3 linked regions of the Arabidopsis thaliana genome follow. The protein of the gene in region 3 interacts with the protein of the main gene of each other region in a pairwise test. Each region holds a gene or a part of one and is shown on either strand. Other genes may lie near its edges.

What was found. The genes of interacting proteins can lie anywhere in the genome.
Region 1: the proteins of MIF2 (region 3) and GTL1 interact in a two-hybrid assay, tested with the Arabidopsis thaliana proteins (one large-scale study listed by BioGRID).
Region 2: the proteins of MIF2 (region 3) and AT5G49420 interact in a two-hybrid assay, tested with the Arabidopsis thaliana proteins (one large-scale study listed by BioGRID).

The regions. Positions count from the first base shown.
Region 1 is NC_003070.9:12,050,702-12,056,384, forward strand, and holds GTL1 (GT-2-like 1), read right to left. Parts: upstream 4,053-5,683; 5' UTR 3,620-4,052; coding exon 3,330-3,619; intron 3,235-3,329; exon of another isoform or gene 3,133-3,234; coding exon of another isoform or gene 2,960-3,132; coding exon 1,498-2,959; coding exon of another isoform or gene 1,465-1,497; exon of another isoform or gene 1,416-1,464; coding exon 1,158-1,415; 3' UTR 676-1,157; downstream 1-675. UniProt on the Arabidopsis thaliana protein: Transcription repressor that binds specific DNA sequence such as GT3 box 5'-GGTAAA-3' in the SDD1 promoter. Negative regulator of water use efficiency (WUE) via the promotion of stomatal density and distribution by the transcription repression of SDD1.
Region 2 is NC_003076.8:20,033,997-20,038,108, reverse strand, and holds AT5G49420 (MADS-box transcription factor family protein), read left to right. Parts: upstream 1-1,903; 5' UTR 1,904-1,938; coding exon 1,939-2,943; 3' UTR 2,944-2,996; intron 2,997-3,193; 3' UTR 3,194-3,437; downstream 3,438-4,112. Other genes in the region: AT5G49430 (WD40/YVTN repeat and Bromo-WDR9-I-like domain-containing protein), read left to right, coding at 1-231, 439-497, 576-771.
Region 3 is NC_003074.8:10,922,565-10,926,327, reverse strand, and holds MIF2 (mini zinc finger 2), read right to left. Parts: upstream 1,621-3,763; 5' UTR 1,315-1,620; coding exon 1,012-1,314; 3' UTR 515-1,011; downstream 1-514. UniProt on the Arabidopsis thaliana protein: Inhibits zinc finger homeodomain (ZHD) transcription factors by interacting with them to prevent both their nuclear localization and their DNA-binding properties.

The DNA of each region.
Region 1 (5,683 bases), on a different chromosome or scaffold from region 3:
ACAACAAAATACATTGTAATAATATCTTTTGTATAATTAGATACATACATTTTATATGTATAAAATGATTGCACGTTGGGGCAGCTGTGTTAAGACACAAAGAGGTGAAAGCAAGTTGGCAATCAAAGTGGTACTTACTCTTTCTTACCTGTACCCATTTCCTCCATTATTACTCTCTCTATCAAAAAGATACAGAATCTTTTCTTTTTCTTCTTCTTCTTTATTTTTTTTTGGTGTGATCATGCTGTCTCAATCCATCTTTCTATATTCTCAAACCATTATTTTTATTTTGTAAATTTACACGAGTAGTTTTTTACTTTTTGATACAGTTTTTTTGAAGGTAAAGAAAAAAGTTATAGAAAAAAAACAGAGAGATGAAAAATGAGTTAACATGAGAGTGGCACGAGTCTTGTCGTTGTAAGTACAAAAGCCTGCACATGCTTTTGATTGTAAGAAAAATAAAGTTTGAAACAAAAGAACAAAACTTTGAGCGACCCTGTTTAATTGATAGTGACACCAAAAATGAATAATGGCTTATCGGATTGTTTTTGTGGGCGCCGCAAAAAGGATTAAACATAAAAACACACAGATTCTCTCTTCTTCTTCTCCTCTCAATTACTTATGGCTTTGAGTCTCAGTCAAAAAAGCAAAGTGAATAAACCAATCTTTGTCATATATCAATTCAAATAGTAGTAATAATCAGTCATATATGTTTATCTTTGTCTGATAAACTAAATGATTCTAATTCTTACCTTAAAGGAAGAAAAAATAAAATAAAGACTCTTTATTCCCCAATTAACCAATCAACAAATGTTTTAAGAGAAAAAAAAAAAGTGTGAGACTTGCTGATGAAATTACAACTCCAAAATAATCTAAAAGACCTTTTAGCTAGAGTTTTTTGTTCATGTGGGGGTTGGAAGAAGAAAACAATGAACAAGAAGAAACAAACAAGAGACAGTGAGAAAGAAAAGAACAAAAGGGAAAGAATGTGAAAAAGAATTGTATTCACTGAAAAATCGAAGATCGATGAGACCTTGATATTTCAGTTTGTGGTGTCAGATGTGTGTGTGTGTGTGTTTGTGTTTTGTGTTTTTGGGTGTTTTGTTTAGAAAACTATGCACACATAAGTACATTTTCTTGAAACAATGATTCTGATTTTACTGAACCATTGTCAAGAAAGGTGGTTCCGTATGGCCATTGCCTCCTCTGTTTGCAGGGCTTTGAAACGCAATCTCGAAAGCCGCGGACTTCTCATCCTCGTCTAGTTCTTCCTCATCCATTTCCTGATCTTCCTCTTCCTCCATGTTATTATAATTGTGAGACTCTTCAATCTTTTCATACTCACCTATCATTGATTCTTGTTGTTGTAGTTGCTGTTGTTGTTGAATCAGCTCTCTCATCACAAGGTCTTCTGGCTTCAATTCCAACAAATCATATTTCAGTTATCAAAGAACATTAAACCAATCACATTTTGACAAGGAAAAGCAAAGTTTGTACCTTTTCTGTTCCTTGTGGACTTTCCTCTATAGGCTCTTCTTCCTCAGTTGAAGCTGACCCATGAGTTTGTTGAACATTAACAAGTCCTTCTTGTGGCGGTTTCATCGCAGTGACCGGACTCTGTTTTTGGTCTTGAGGTAGACCAGAAGTGCTAGAACCACCGCCACTACCGAGTACTTTGTTGCGGTAAAGAAGATCGAGGCGGTGAAAGTAAGGACAAGTCTTAGCATCTTGAGGACGTTTCTTGTTGCTTTCTTTAACTTTCTTGTAGTATTTGTTTATGTTTTCCCATTTCTCTTTACATCTCTTAGCGTTTCTGTTGTATCCCATTCTCTTCATTGAAGTTGAGATCTCTTCCCATAGAAGTCCTTTAGGTACATTATCTTGGTACCTTGGTTCCATTCCACTTCTCAGGTTTATAAGCGCTAGAATCTCTGCCTTTGGCCATCTTGATGATGATGGTAATGATGATTGTTCCGAGCTCATGACCATCTCTTGTTGTGGTTGTTGTTGTTGTTTCTGTTCTGGTTGATGAGCGTGAGGATGAGAAGGAGGAGGAGGAGGAAGAATTTGTTGTTGTGGAATCGCCATTATTGGTTGTTGTGATTGAGATTGAGCTGTTGATAATGGTGGTTCCGCCACACGTTTAGTGACCGCGGGTGGCGGTTGATACGGTGGAGGCGGTTGAGATGACAAAGAAGGAGGTAACTGAATGGTATGGCCAGTAATTTTCTGAATCAATGAAATGATTGCGGCGTCACGAGAAGCAGAGGCGGCTCGTTCTTGAGACATGACCTCGTGTTCTCGAGCTAACCGAGCCATTTCTTGACGTTTCCAAGCTTCTTCACGATCAAGACGTTCTTGCTCTCTCTTCTCAAGAGCTTCCAAGAAACTCCTTTGCATAGCCGCTTGCTTTTGCATTACTTGTCTCACCAAACCTTCAAACAATTCCATCATTTTACCGCCTCCACCGCGGTTTCCACGTTTGCGTTTTCGGCTACTAGAACCCGCAATGTTAGCCTGATCAACGTCCATATCGTCGTCATCATCATCAGACCCCATTCCTGAAGCCGTCGATGAGCTATGAGACGAGAAAGTAACACCGGTAAATATCGGACCCATTGAAGGAAGTGGAAGAGGTGGTGGAGTAGGAGTAAAAGAGACATTATGCGTTTGAGGCGGTTGCGTTTGCGTTTGCGGTTGCGGTTGAGAGAATACGGGAAATGGAGAAGAAGAAGAAGAAGGCATGAGAATGGGATTAGCGACGGAGAGAGGAGTAACGTCGAGGGAAGATGAAGGAGGAGTAGTGTTGAGAGCTTCAAGCTGAGAGAAGAACTTGTAAGCTTTACCATCATGACGACCACCGCGAGTTTCTTTAGTACGTTTGTAATATTTCTGAACGTTTTCGAATTTCTCTTTGCATTTCTTTGAACTTCGTTTGTAACCTAACTCCAATAGCTTCCTGTTTCCAAAAACATGAAAATAATTCAGATTCTCTAGTTTTATTTTATTTTTGGTTGTCGTTATTAGCTGGAAAATTTTTATGGTTACTGTTCGATCGGATTTTTTTTTTTTTTTTTTGGAAGTAAAGAGAGTCTTGGGATTTTCAAAATCGAAAACGTCCCAGAAACTCATGAACCAACTTCTGTAATAAACAAACAGTTCTTTTAATTTTTCTTGGGGATGGTGAAGATGCTTTGATCTCGAATATATTACTATTTATATATACCTAACACTAAAAAAAAAAAGTTAACAAAAAAAAAACACATGCAAATGGATCTCTATCAAGAAACACCATTGATGAAAATGGAAGAGAAGAGAGGAAGAGAGACCTGGAAACATGTTCCCAAAGAGGAGCTTTGAGAGTAGCATCACGAAAAGTAGAATCCATATCGGATCGGATCCGAAGAAGAGCTAAAGTTTCTTCTCTCGGCCATCGATTTCCCGATGAAGAAGAAGCACTTCCTCCTCCTCCTCCTCCACCTCCACCTCCTAATCCACCGTCATCCGCGGCGGCTGAGAATCTCATAAGCTCTTCTAAGTTGTTAGCAGGAGGTCTTGAACTAATAGGTGAAGCTTCCTCCACAACTTCATTACCACCACCACCTCCTCCTTGCTCCATCAATCTTGATGATGTTTCAATCTTTTTCTACACACACACTCTCTCTTTCTCTCTAGCTCCTCAATGTTTTTTGATATAAATCTCATAAAACCATTGATGATGATGATGAGAGAAATAAGAAAGAGAAGCAGTCTTTTTTTGTTTGTTTAAACAGCAACTAGGAGGGGTCTGAAGGAGAAAGGAGAGGATTACGAGGATGATGATGATAGATAGAGAGAAAGAGAATGAAAGCAAACAAGAAGTTAATAAAGCTGAAGCCTCTTCTAACTTTGCAGCAAATTATTGTTAAACCCACTTTTCTTCACTCTCTCTTTTTCTTTATTTATTTTATTTTCTTCCTTCTTTTATATTATTTAGAAAAAAAGGTCCACATCTATTTAATTAAATCCAATTTTATGTGTATTATTATTATTGTTATAAAGCAAAGAGTAAGGAAGGCTTTAAAAGTTAAATTTGGATCCGCAAACATCTCATTGCTCAGTGATCCGATTAAATTGTTTTTGGGTAAAAATTGTGTTTTGGAGAAATATAATAAACACAAAATCATGTGCCTCCCATGTTGTTGTCCTCTCCCACCATCATGTCTAAGGTGTCCACGTGGCGTTGTCTGATTGGTAGGGTATGTGACAATCAGATTTTTGGGGAAAGGGAGGGACAGAATTGGAATTTGATAATAGTTTTTACCCGATTTGAGCTGGACCAGCCTTGACATCTTTCCCCCCACTCTCTTTCCTCTCCAATTCAACAGTTTCTTTCTCTCTTTTTTTTTGTTATTGTGTAAATAATACATTTATAGAAACATATCAAACAATAGTGTTTTAGTGATGTCAAGAAAAGAAAAAAATAGTAAGTCCAAAGCCAGTGAAATTATTTTATGAATCATACATAGTGCATAATTAATTAACATAACCATGTAATTTTAAACTCGGAACTATCTTGGCAGGTCGGATCGATAACCTGACCCATGCATTAGTTTATGCGAAGCCAAAGCCAAACCCACTCACTACCAACACTATAACAGATTTCGTTTATGTCATTTTAAACATACTTTTTACTGAATTTGCAGCGAATTTAGCATACATGAATTGATATGATGGCTTGGTCACGATAACAAAGTTGCTAGACTCATTTGGACGCTACAATTTTACAAGTGATTCTTGTATGTTGGCATAATTTGGAATCAAGAACATGCATGGTCTGCAAAATCCCATAAATAAACAAACGTGACGTCAAGTGATCTTTGATATGTTCTTTGAATTTATTTTTTTCTCCAAAAAATAAGACATTCGTTTAGTTAAATGTTGATAGCTTGACATCGCTTTTTTTTTTAGTAACTCGTTTGGTTTTTAATTAAAAATGAAACTGTTAATTTCCTTTGCACATATATATGTGAATCAAAACAAAAGTCAAGATGATGATTTTATGTATTGGTGGTAACCAGAATTTTCGACAAAAGTACAAGATAACAAACTAATAAAGAAACCTTATAACAATTAGGTGAAAAATAATGAAAATAAGTACATTTTTTGAGATAGTAAAGCTGTGGTGAAGATAGACATAAGTGATCAATCAAAAATTGAATAGCCTCATATCTAAAATTAGTTGCAAACTCAAGACATCGATGCAGACACTCATACTATCACATTATACAACTCTTTAATACCTCTCACCTACACAAACATACACAAAATAAAAAAAAAACTCATTTTCATTACCAAATCACACTCTACACAAAAACACACCGCTCATTTCTAGTTATACACAAAAAAGGAAAACAAACTATTTCCTTCTAACAACAAAATGAAAGATGCTAATTAATAATAATGGTTAGAGAAGAAGGTGAAGAAGAAGAAGAAGGTGGGCGGTGGAAGTGGAGAACTTTCTTGAAGGGGAAAGAAAGAGAGAGAGCGGCGGATACACAGCTGTCTTCTCTTCTTCTTCCCCCCACTTTCACATGCCTCTCCTTTTTCACTATATTTATTACTTATTACATGTGATATGTTCTTTTTTTTCCTAATTATACAACTTTAATATTAGTACAAGTATAATAAGAATATAATTATA
Region 2 (4,112 bases), on a different chromosome or scaffold from region 3:
TGGGAAGGACGGATTCTAGCTGTGAAACCCAAATCACCTGATTTTCCTGATAGTCCGTGGGAGAGGTACACAGTTAAGTACAAGAGTGACCCTGCCGAGACACATCTTCACAGTCCCTGGGAGCTTTTTGATGCAGATACCAAGTGGGAGCAGCCTCACATTGATGATGAGCAACGAAACCGTTTGCTCTCGGCCTTAACAAAGTTAGAGACTTCAGACAAGAGAACCCAGGTATGTGATCCTAATGAATATAATATCTCATGGTGTTAAATCTAGCCTATCCTCCCCACCAAATTCAGACTTCACCCAAAGAGCTTAGGCCCATGTTTACATTAGCTTAGTTGGTTTATAGATCACATTCTAAAGCTTAGTGGATTAAGACACAACATTATCCCAAGAACTAACAATATTGATATAATGTGGGCTAATTTGTTTCAGGATTCTTTTGGCCTCCGAAAACTGAACCAGACCGTGGGAAATTCCAGCTACTCCAACAGGTAAATTTCTACAACCCTGGAAGAGTCTTTGGTGGAGCCAAAGCTGACATGGTTTTGTTCTATGGATTCATTCTGCAGGTTCCCAGTTCCTTTGTCTCTTGAAGTAATCAGATCAAGGCTTGAGAACAACTATTACCGAAGTGTGGAAGCATTACGACACGACGTATCAGTTATGTTGTCCAATGCAGAGACTTTCTTTGGTCGAAATAAAAGTGTAGCAGCCAAAATCTCAAATCTCTCTAACTGGTTCGACCGGACGCTACCTTCTTCGTAGCTTATCATCGCGCCTATGTAGATAAACTGATGTTTTTTTTTCTCATGTTTCCAAATTATTTAGTTAGGTTTCCTGCAATTCTTTAAAAACTCTGGTTCTAATGGCAGAAGAGAATTTTAGGGGATTTTTTTTCCTTCAGTTAGAAAATTTTAGGTTTAGGGTTTAGTTGGAGATAATCTTTTTCTTTTTGAAATTGTATGTAAAGAGAAATTGGAGGAGAGGTCAAAAACGTTTGATGCTTTGGAATCATCTTCTGTTGACTGACCAACCCCAAATTTGAGAATCATTTCTTTTTCTGCTAATGGTACAACAACAGATGAAATTGTTGACATTACATGTGCAAATATCCAGTCTACAATAGATGATCAAGACAAAAACAGTATAATTGCAAATATTTTTGACAAAAAATTGATGAATACTAAGAAACAACGTTTTTATAGAAAGTCTGGACGATTTGGTTGCTCTAGACAGTGGTAGTAAACTGAGTGATAGATATTGCTAGGTGTTTTTGAAACACTGTCAAGGTTAAGCTCCAATGAAATCAGTCAGTGATTATATGTTGATGACCCTCTCTCAAGGTTTGTTCTATAGTCACCAATTACAATTGTTTCTTCTTGGTATTGATATTTTGAGTTTTGTGTGTTTAGGATAGCTGATAGGCTTTTTTGTTAGTTTTATTTGATGGACTATTGTTTTTCAGTAGGTCTTTAACAAAGTTTTCTTCTGCTACCAGGTCACCTTTGTCAACTCCATAGCCACATTTTAAGGAGTGAAGAACCAGAAAGAATGAACACGATAATGTGAAGAACCAGCTATATATTTGTTTGTCTCTCTCATAATAATCTGACAAAATTTTTTTTGTAGAATCTAGCAAAATAATATTTTTTGAAAAATAAAAATATCTCCAAATAAATCTGAATCATAATACAATAACTAAAAATTATCAAAATAAAAATAAATAAGACTGCACTAAAAAAGGATTCTGGTGGATAGTTGGGCTTAGCCCATACAAGATTACGGTCCATGTGGTTTAATCGGTTTAGGTGGATGATATTGATATGGGGTTTCGATATTTCCCTTATATATATGAGACTGAGAGATAGAAGAAGCCTTCACTTTTCAATTATCTTTCTCCACACTCAACAAAATTGAGAAAAATCAATCAGAATGGTGAAAAAAGGTGGCACGAAGAGGAAGATTGCGATTGAGACGATACAGAAGAGAGATTCCCTTAGGGTTACCTGCACCAAACGCCGTGAAGGTCTCTATAGCAAAGCCTCTCAGCTTTGTCTTCTCTCAGACGCACAGATCGCTATCTTAGCGACTCCTCCTTCTTCTGAATCCAACGTATCCTTCTACTCTTTCGGTCACTCCTCTGTTGATGCCGTTGTCTCTGCTTTTCTCTCCGGACAACGTCCTGTTCCGAAGGATAACAAAGAGACGAGGGAGGACGTTGGTATCTGTTTGACTCGCAATAATCTAGGGTTAGGTTTTTGGTGGAACGACGAGAGCCTTGCCAGATCGGAGAATCCTCAAGAGATTAGTGAAGCGATCGACTCTATGCGGACGCTGTTGAGGAATCTCAAGGAATTGCGTGCGGATGAAGCTTTAGCCTGTAATCAAGCTTTCGTTAATGATCGCGAGGACCTGAAGAACAACGACAAGTGCGATTTTGTTTCAGACCACGAAACTCATGATCAAACCCTAATTCTTCAGTCCGCTTCTCCAATTTGTTGCATCCCAGAAAATCTCAACGAGATTACTCAAGAGCCAAATCAAACCCTAAATATTCAGTCGAGTACTTCTGCAATTTGTTGCGTCCCTGATAATTCACCTGAAAATTTCAATGAGATCACTGAAGAACAAGATCAGATTCGCTCGATTTGTGAAACTTTTTGTGTTATGGATAACAACGCTGCTTTACCTGAAATGAACCTGGATTACGATCAAGACATTGGCTTCGACACGCCTTTTGAGAGCGCGCTAAATGATTGGTTTTCGGACAACACTACTCATCAGGAGATTAGTGCAAGTATTTTGAACGCTGTTGTTGATGATCAAGTCTCGGTGGATCTAACTCCGTTTTCTTATTTTCAGAGATGTTTGGATGGAGATAATCTACGATTCTCTGATTGTTTCAAAGACTTTGCAAACACTATTTCAGCACTTTGAAGATAATTTCTCTGCAGTTTTCAAACTAACTTCTAGTTACTTCTTTATTATATGTATGTATTGATTCTGCTAATTTTGGTTACAGATATGTTTTAGCAATGTAATGAATGAAAGGGTCTGGTTTGACCTCGATCAGTTTTCCATACATATATGTATGAGGGAAATTGATCGAAATCAAACTGGTTCTCTGCTTCATCAGTTTGGTTTAATGATAATATTTGTCTTCTGTTTCTATGTTTTGTATTTGTAGTTTCAAGTCCAAACTCATGCGATGAGAACATGACCAAGGCAACCAAACCACTTGAACCACAAAAAGACGAGAAGCAGCTTGTACCGGAGGAAGCATTAATCGTTCTGGCGGGTCCTCTAACAAGATCAAAATCTAAGAAGTTCAACCAAGCTATCAATGGACTACTCAAGGAGCTAAAGAAGAATCAAGAAGACGTGACTCAATCCTCCTTCATAGTGATCACGGCTCAAGAGGCTCGGTAAAGGGTTAAGTGTTGCTTATGCATTCTTTTTCCCTTATCAAGTTTTGTCCCAATGGGTTTTCTTGACAAGGTTTTTAATGAGGCCTAAGGAACACTTTCAAGCCTCCCTTTATCAGCTCAATTCGTGGTCCAAGGCCCACTCACAATGCCGTGGCCCATTTTCTATTTTCTCTTCAAACTTTGCATTTATTGTTTTTGTTATTTCCAAAACTCTTTGCATGAGTGTGTACTTGTGCATGCTCTTGCATGTCTTTCTTCTCTCACCTCTTCCCCTTCTTCCTCCTCTCCTATATAAACTCATTGTAGTTCTCATTTGTAATCATCAAACATTTTAATCAAAAACTTTCTCTTTCACTTGTTTGATCTGAAAAGTGTGTAGTATCTTTTCAACTTGTTTTCTTCTTAGTGTGTAATATCTAAGTTGGATCCAAGCTCGTAGTCTAAGAGTCTTTCATCACTCTTGGAAGTACAATTCGTTCCCCTTTCATTCCGCTGCATCCACTCGATCTCGTCGCCATCCCCATTCATCGTCTTTCCACCGCTTTGATTAAGATCAATCCATTATTCACTATCAACTACATCATTTCCAATTCAAAACCAACAAAGTGAGTCCTTGGAGTATAGATCCACTTCCAGGAGTGTATCATCATGTCTTTTTAATATGACAACAGAATCAGG
Region 3 (3,763 bases):
ATTTATTTGCCTATCTTTTATCCTCTGAAATAAAATTTGAAAAATCTCTCTTAAAGCTAAAAGGTTATAGAATATTTTAATATATACTATTTTTAATTAAAAGCTGGGAAGGCATATATCCCTGAAAATATTGGTTCTCATCATAGCATAATTAAGAAATCTGAGCTTAAATAATCTAATCGGTCTCGAGTTAACATGCCCTTCACATAAATCTGAGCTTTATGCACTTCACATAAAGCTAAATATTTTAAGATAAATCATGGAAAATAGTGTGAGACTTAACTCCACCATTTATATTTTTTAAAAATAAAGCTATAGGAGTGGTCTCAAAGGGATCAATTTAAACCTTTTTTCATCGCCTCCCAAAAAAAATATTTACTACAATCATTAGTGATTTATTTATACTAATATATACATATATATATATATATAATTAATTAAATTAGTTATTGAGATAATCAATAAATGGGTTACTATATTCAGCTACCTTATCACAAGCGAAGAACCTTCCATATATGTTAAGGAACAATCAATCTCATTCATTCATTTATCAGTAAATACACATATTGATTTTGTAACAAATTCCTTTCACAATACACTTAACAATTGTCTTGAGTGGACGACATTGAATTGAAACACGAGTACACCACACATGCTTCGTCAGCTTCGACAAAATAATCAAAATAGATCAAAATACAATAACATGACCCAACCAGAATACAAATCAAACAATATAATACATGAAAAACAACAATAATCTTAATATTTCACTTCAGAAGCCTAACCTTTTCTGAACATTCTCAAACCCCAAAAGCATCCAATTATTATAAATCTTTCAATGCTTCCACCACCTTCAATCTATAAATCTCTTATAGTTTCTTCTTAAATTCACAAAGAAACACAAGCCTTTCATATTAAAGAAGAAAAAAAAGCAAATAAAATATTTTCAGTTTCATCATCTGTATATGTAACACACAAACACACTCATAGCTAGCTCTAGATTTTTCTTATCTAATTTCCAGTAGAAGGAGGTGAATTACAGTCGCAAACAACCTCGGTTTCTATTTCTCTCCGATGGAAACTGCGATGGCAGCCACAGGCGGCGCACGTTAGCGCTGCCACGGTACCTTCCTCTCCTCGGCTTGCCATGAACTCACGGCAGCCGTCAACAGCGTAACCTCCCACCGCCGCAGCGTGGTTCTTCTGACATTCTCCGTACCTCACAGTTCTCACTGTCAGAGACGAAGCCGTCGACGAGCTTCTAGAAGGTTCCTCTGGCGAGGCTCTCCTCAACACCACCTGACGCTTCCTCATGCTTTCTCACTTCAATTCTCGTCTCAGCTCTTTCTTCTTCTTGACTTTTTTTTATGAAATCTAAACTTGTAATAATGTATATATATTAAAGAGGAAGAGAAAAATGTATAATAAAGTTTTTGTTCTTTTACTTTAATTTCTACGGCTCGAAATAGTTAGGGAGTGAAAGATCAAAACAATTACAAGAGGACCTCGGTTGTTAACCCTAACCCTAGATGTGATATTTATAGCATTTCTGATAGCAATCGACAACCAAACCTTAGATATTTTTCTTGCAACTGCATATATATATATATATATATATGTGTGTGTGTGTAGATGTACATGTCATGGTATAGATTGATGCATCATCACAACCAATCAGACCTACTAAGCTAATCTACCAGAATTTTGTTTTTGATGGGTATATCATATATGTATATCTGTCTTTTGTAATTAAATGACCACAACTATGCATTGAATTATAATTACAAGTTTTGTTTTCTTGTTACCAACCTAAATATGGTGGATGTTTTCTTTTTGGCTCATGTTATACAAAATTCAGATTATGTTTAAAGTATCGTAATTTTTGTTTTTGGAATACTAAGACACTTTAATATTGCAATAATGCGTACTAGTACTTGTCTCATCCGGTTAGAAGAAATTGAATAAGTTTATGCTGAATCGAAATTGGAATCTACTGATCTCCAGTTAAGAAAGAGATTATATTTGTCATCGTTCTGATTTTTGATCCGAATGGACGGACCAAAATGTCATAACTCCAGAGATACAAAAACAAAACATTCACGAGACATGGAGCCACCACTTTGTGAGTTAGGCACCCGTCTTTAGTTGATAATATCACCCTTATACATTGTATTTGGATCTTCCAAACTTCTGCTAGATTCCACTTTCGCAGAATACGTACTCTTACATTCCAACAAATATATATTGTGCGCTAACTAGTAACCATAACCATAAGCCATAGAATAAAATGAAGTGGATGAAGAATTACAACCTGCAACAGTAAATATATTACGACAAAAATTAAATTATGTGTGGAAGTTTGTGGATGCAACTTTTGTTCGATTTATTTTGCGAGAAAACCCTAAAATGATGAGAAAGCTTTTCTTTAAGACCAAACAAAGTGATTGGTTTTAAAAGGAAGGAAACAGCTAAGCTTGTCTTTTTAAGACCTAATATGTACTGTGGTGGCCCCCTTTAACATTCATCCTCTTTAATCCTCTTTTTATTTCCTTCTTTCATTCTATTTTATTTCATAATTAGACAGGTGGTTACGAAAATTATTTATACGTATCATAAAGAATCGAACTTGGTATCGAGATCGAATATATATGCATAGACCAAAAAGTGATTATGTCGGCTATGTGATATCTTGACCCACTTCTATAGTATACCCGAGGAATTGTACGGATTTAAATAAAAAAAATCAATTTTCGTTGTAATCTAAGTACCAATCAATATATTTAAGATTGTATGATGAATAGTCATGAACAAAAATAGAAGTGTGTATAAATGTATATACATTTGGACCTAACAACGTGGGACTGATAAGTTGGGCTACCAAACCTATTTTGTACATCATGAGGACAACGCAATCCTTCACGATCGCTTGCTCCTTTGCAGTTACGTATCGATTTTTTTGAATTACACATGCATACATTCATTCGTTTTTCGGTTAGACATCAAATTTTCTTATTCATGTGTTCCGTCAATCCTTTGATATTTTTATAAGAAATACATTGATATTTTCTCCTTCCAAATTAGATATAAACATAAATCATGAGATGGTATATAACAATAATTGCATAACCAAACGTTGTTGGTACTTTATAATATATATTTAAAAAAAAAAAAAAACTGTTGTAGTTTCATTGTTCCACACTAAACGTTGTTTCATGAGATTAACATCGGCTGAAAAAAAAAAAAAGTTTCTCTCCCAGGCACGAGTTTCGAGGTAACTAAATGAAGCAAATGTTTTCAAAAAAACGGGATCTTACCCACTTTTTTTAGCTATTCTTGGAAACTCCCACTTCTCCCTCGCCGACATCCCCCTCATCTCCCGTTATTCCGGCGTCTCATCTCCGTCCTTTTGCTCACCTATCTATGATGATGAAGGCGTACTTCTCAAAACTGTGTGACATTGTCTCCTCATCAAAATCACCGGAGTATCCATCTCCCTGCTCCCCCTTTGCTGCAGCCGGCTCTGGTTTCACTGACTCCTGCACTTGGTAACCTCTTCCCCTCCCGCTTTGAACCTCTTAAACCCCTTAAACCTTGTAAACTTTTGAAAACTGTTTAACCTTGCAACTGAACTCCCAAACTTGTAAGGAACTCTCCCTTTTGTCTTGTCTGGTTTGTTAACCCCTCCCTTTATGGACAAAAGAATACCCAGTTACCTGAAAGGGAAAGGAATTGCCCGTGGTTTCTCTCCCCCCCCCCCCTTGTA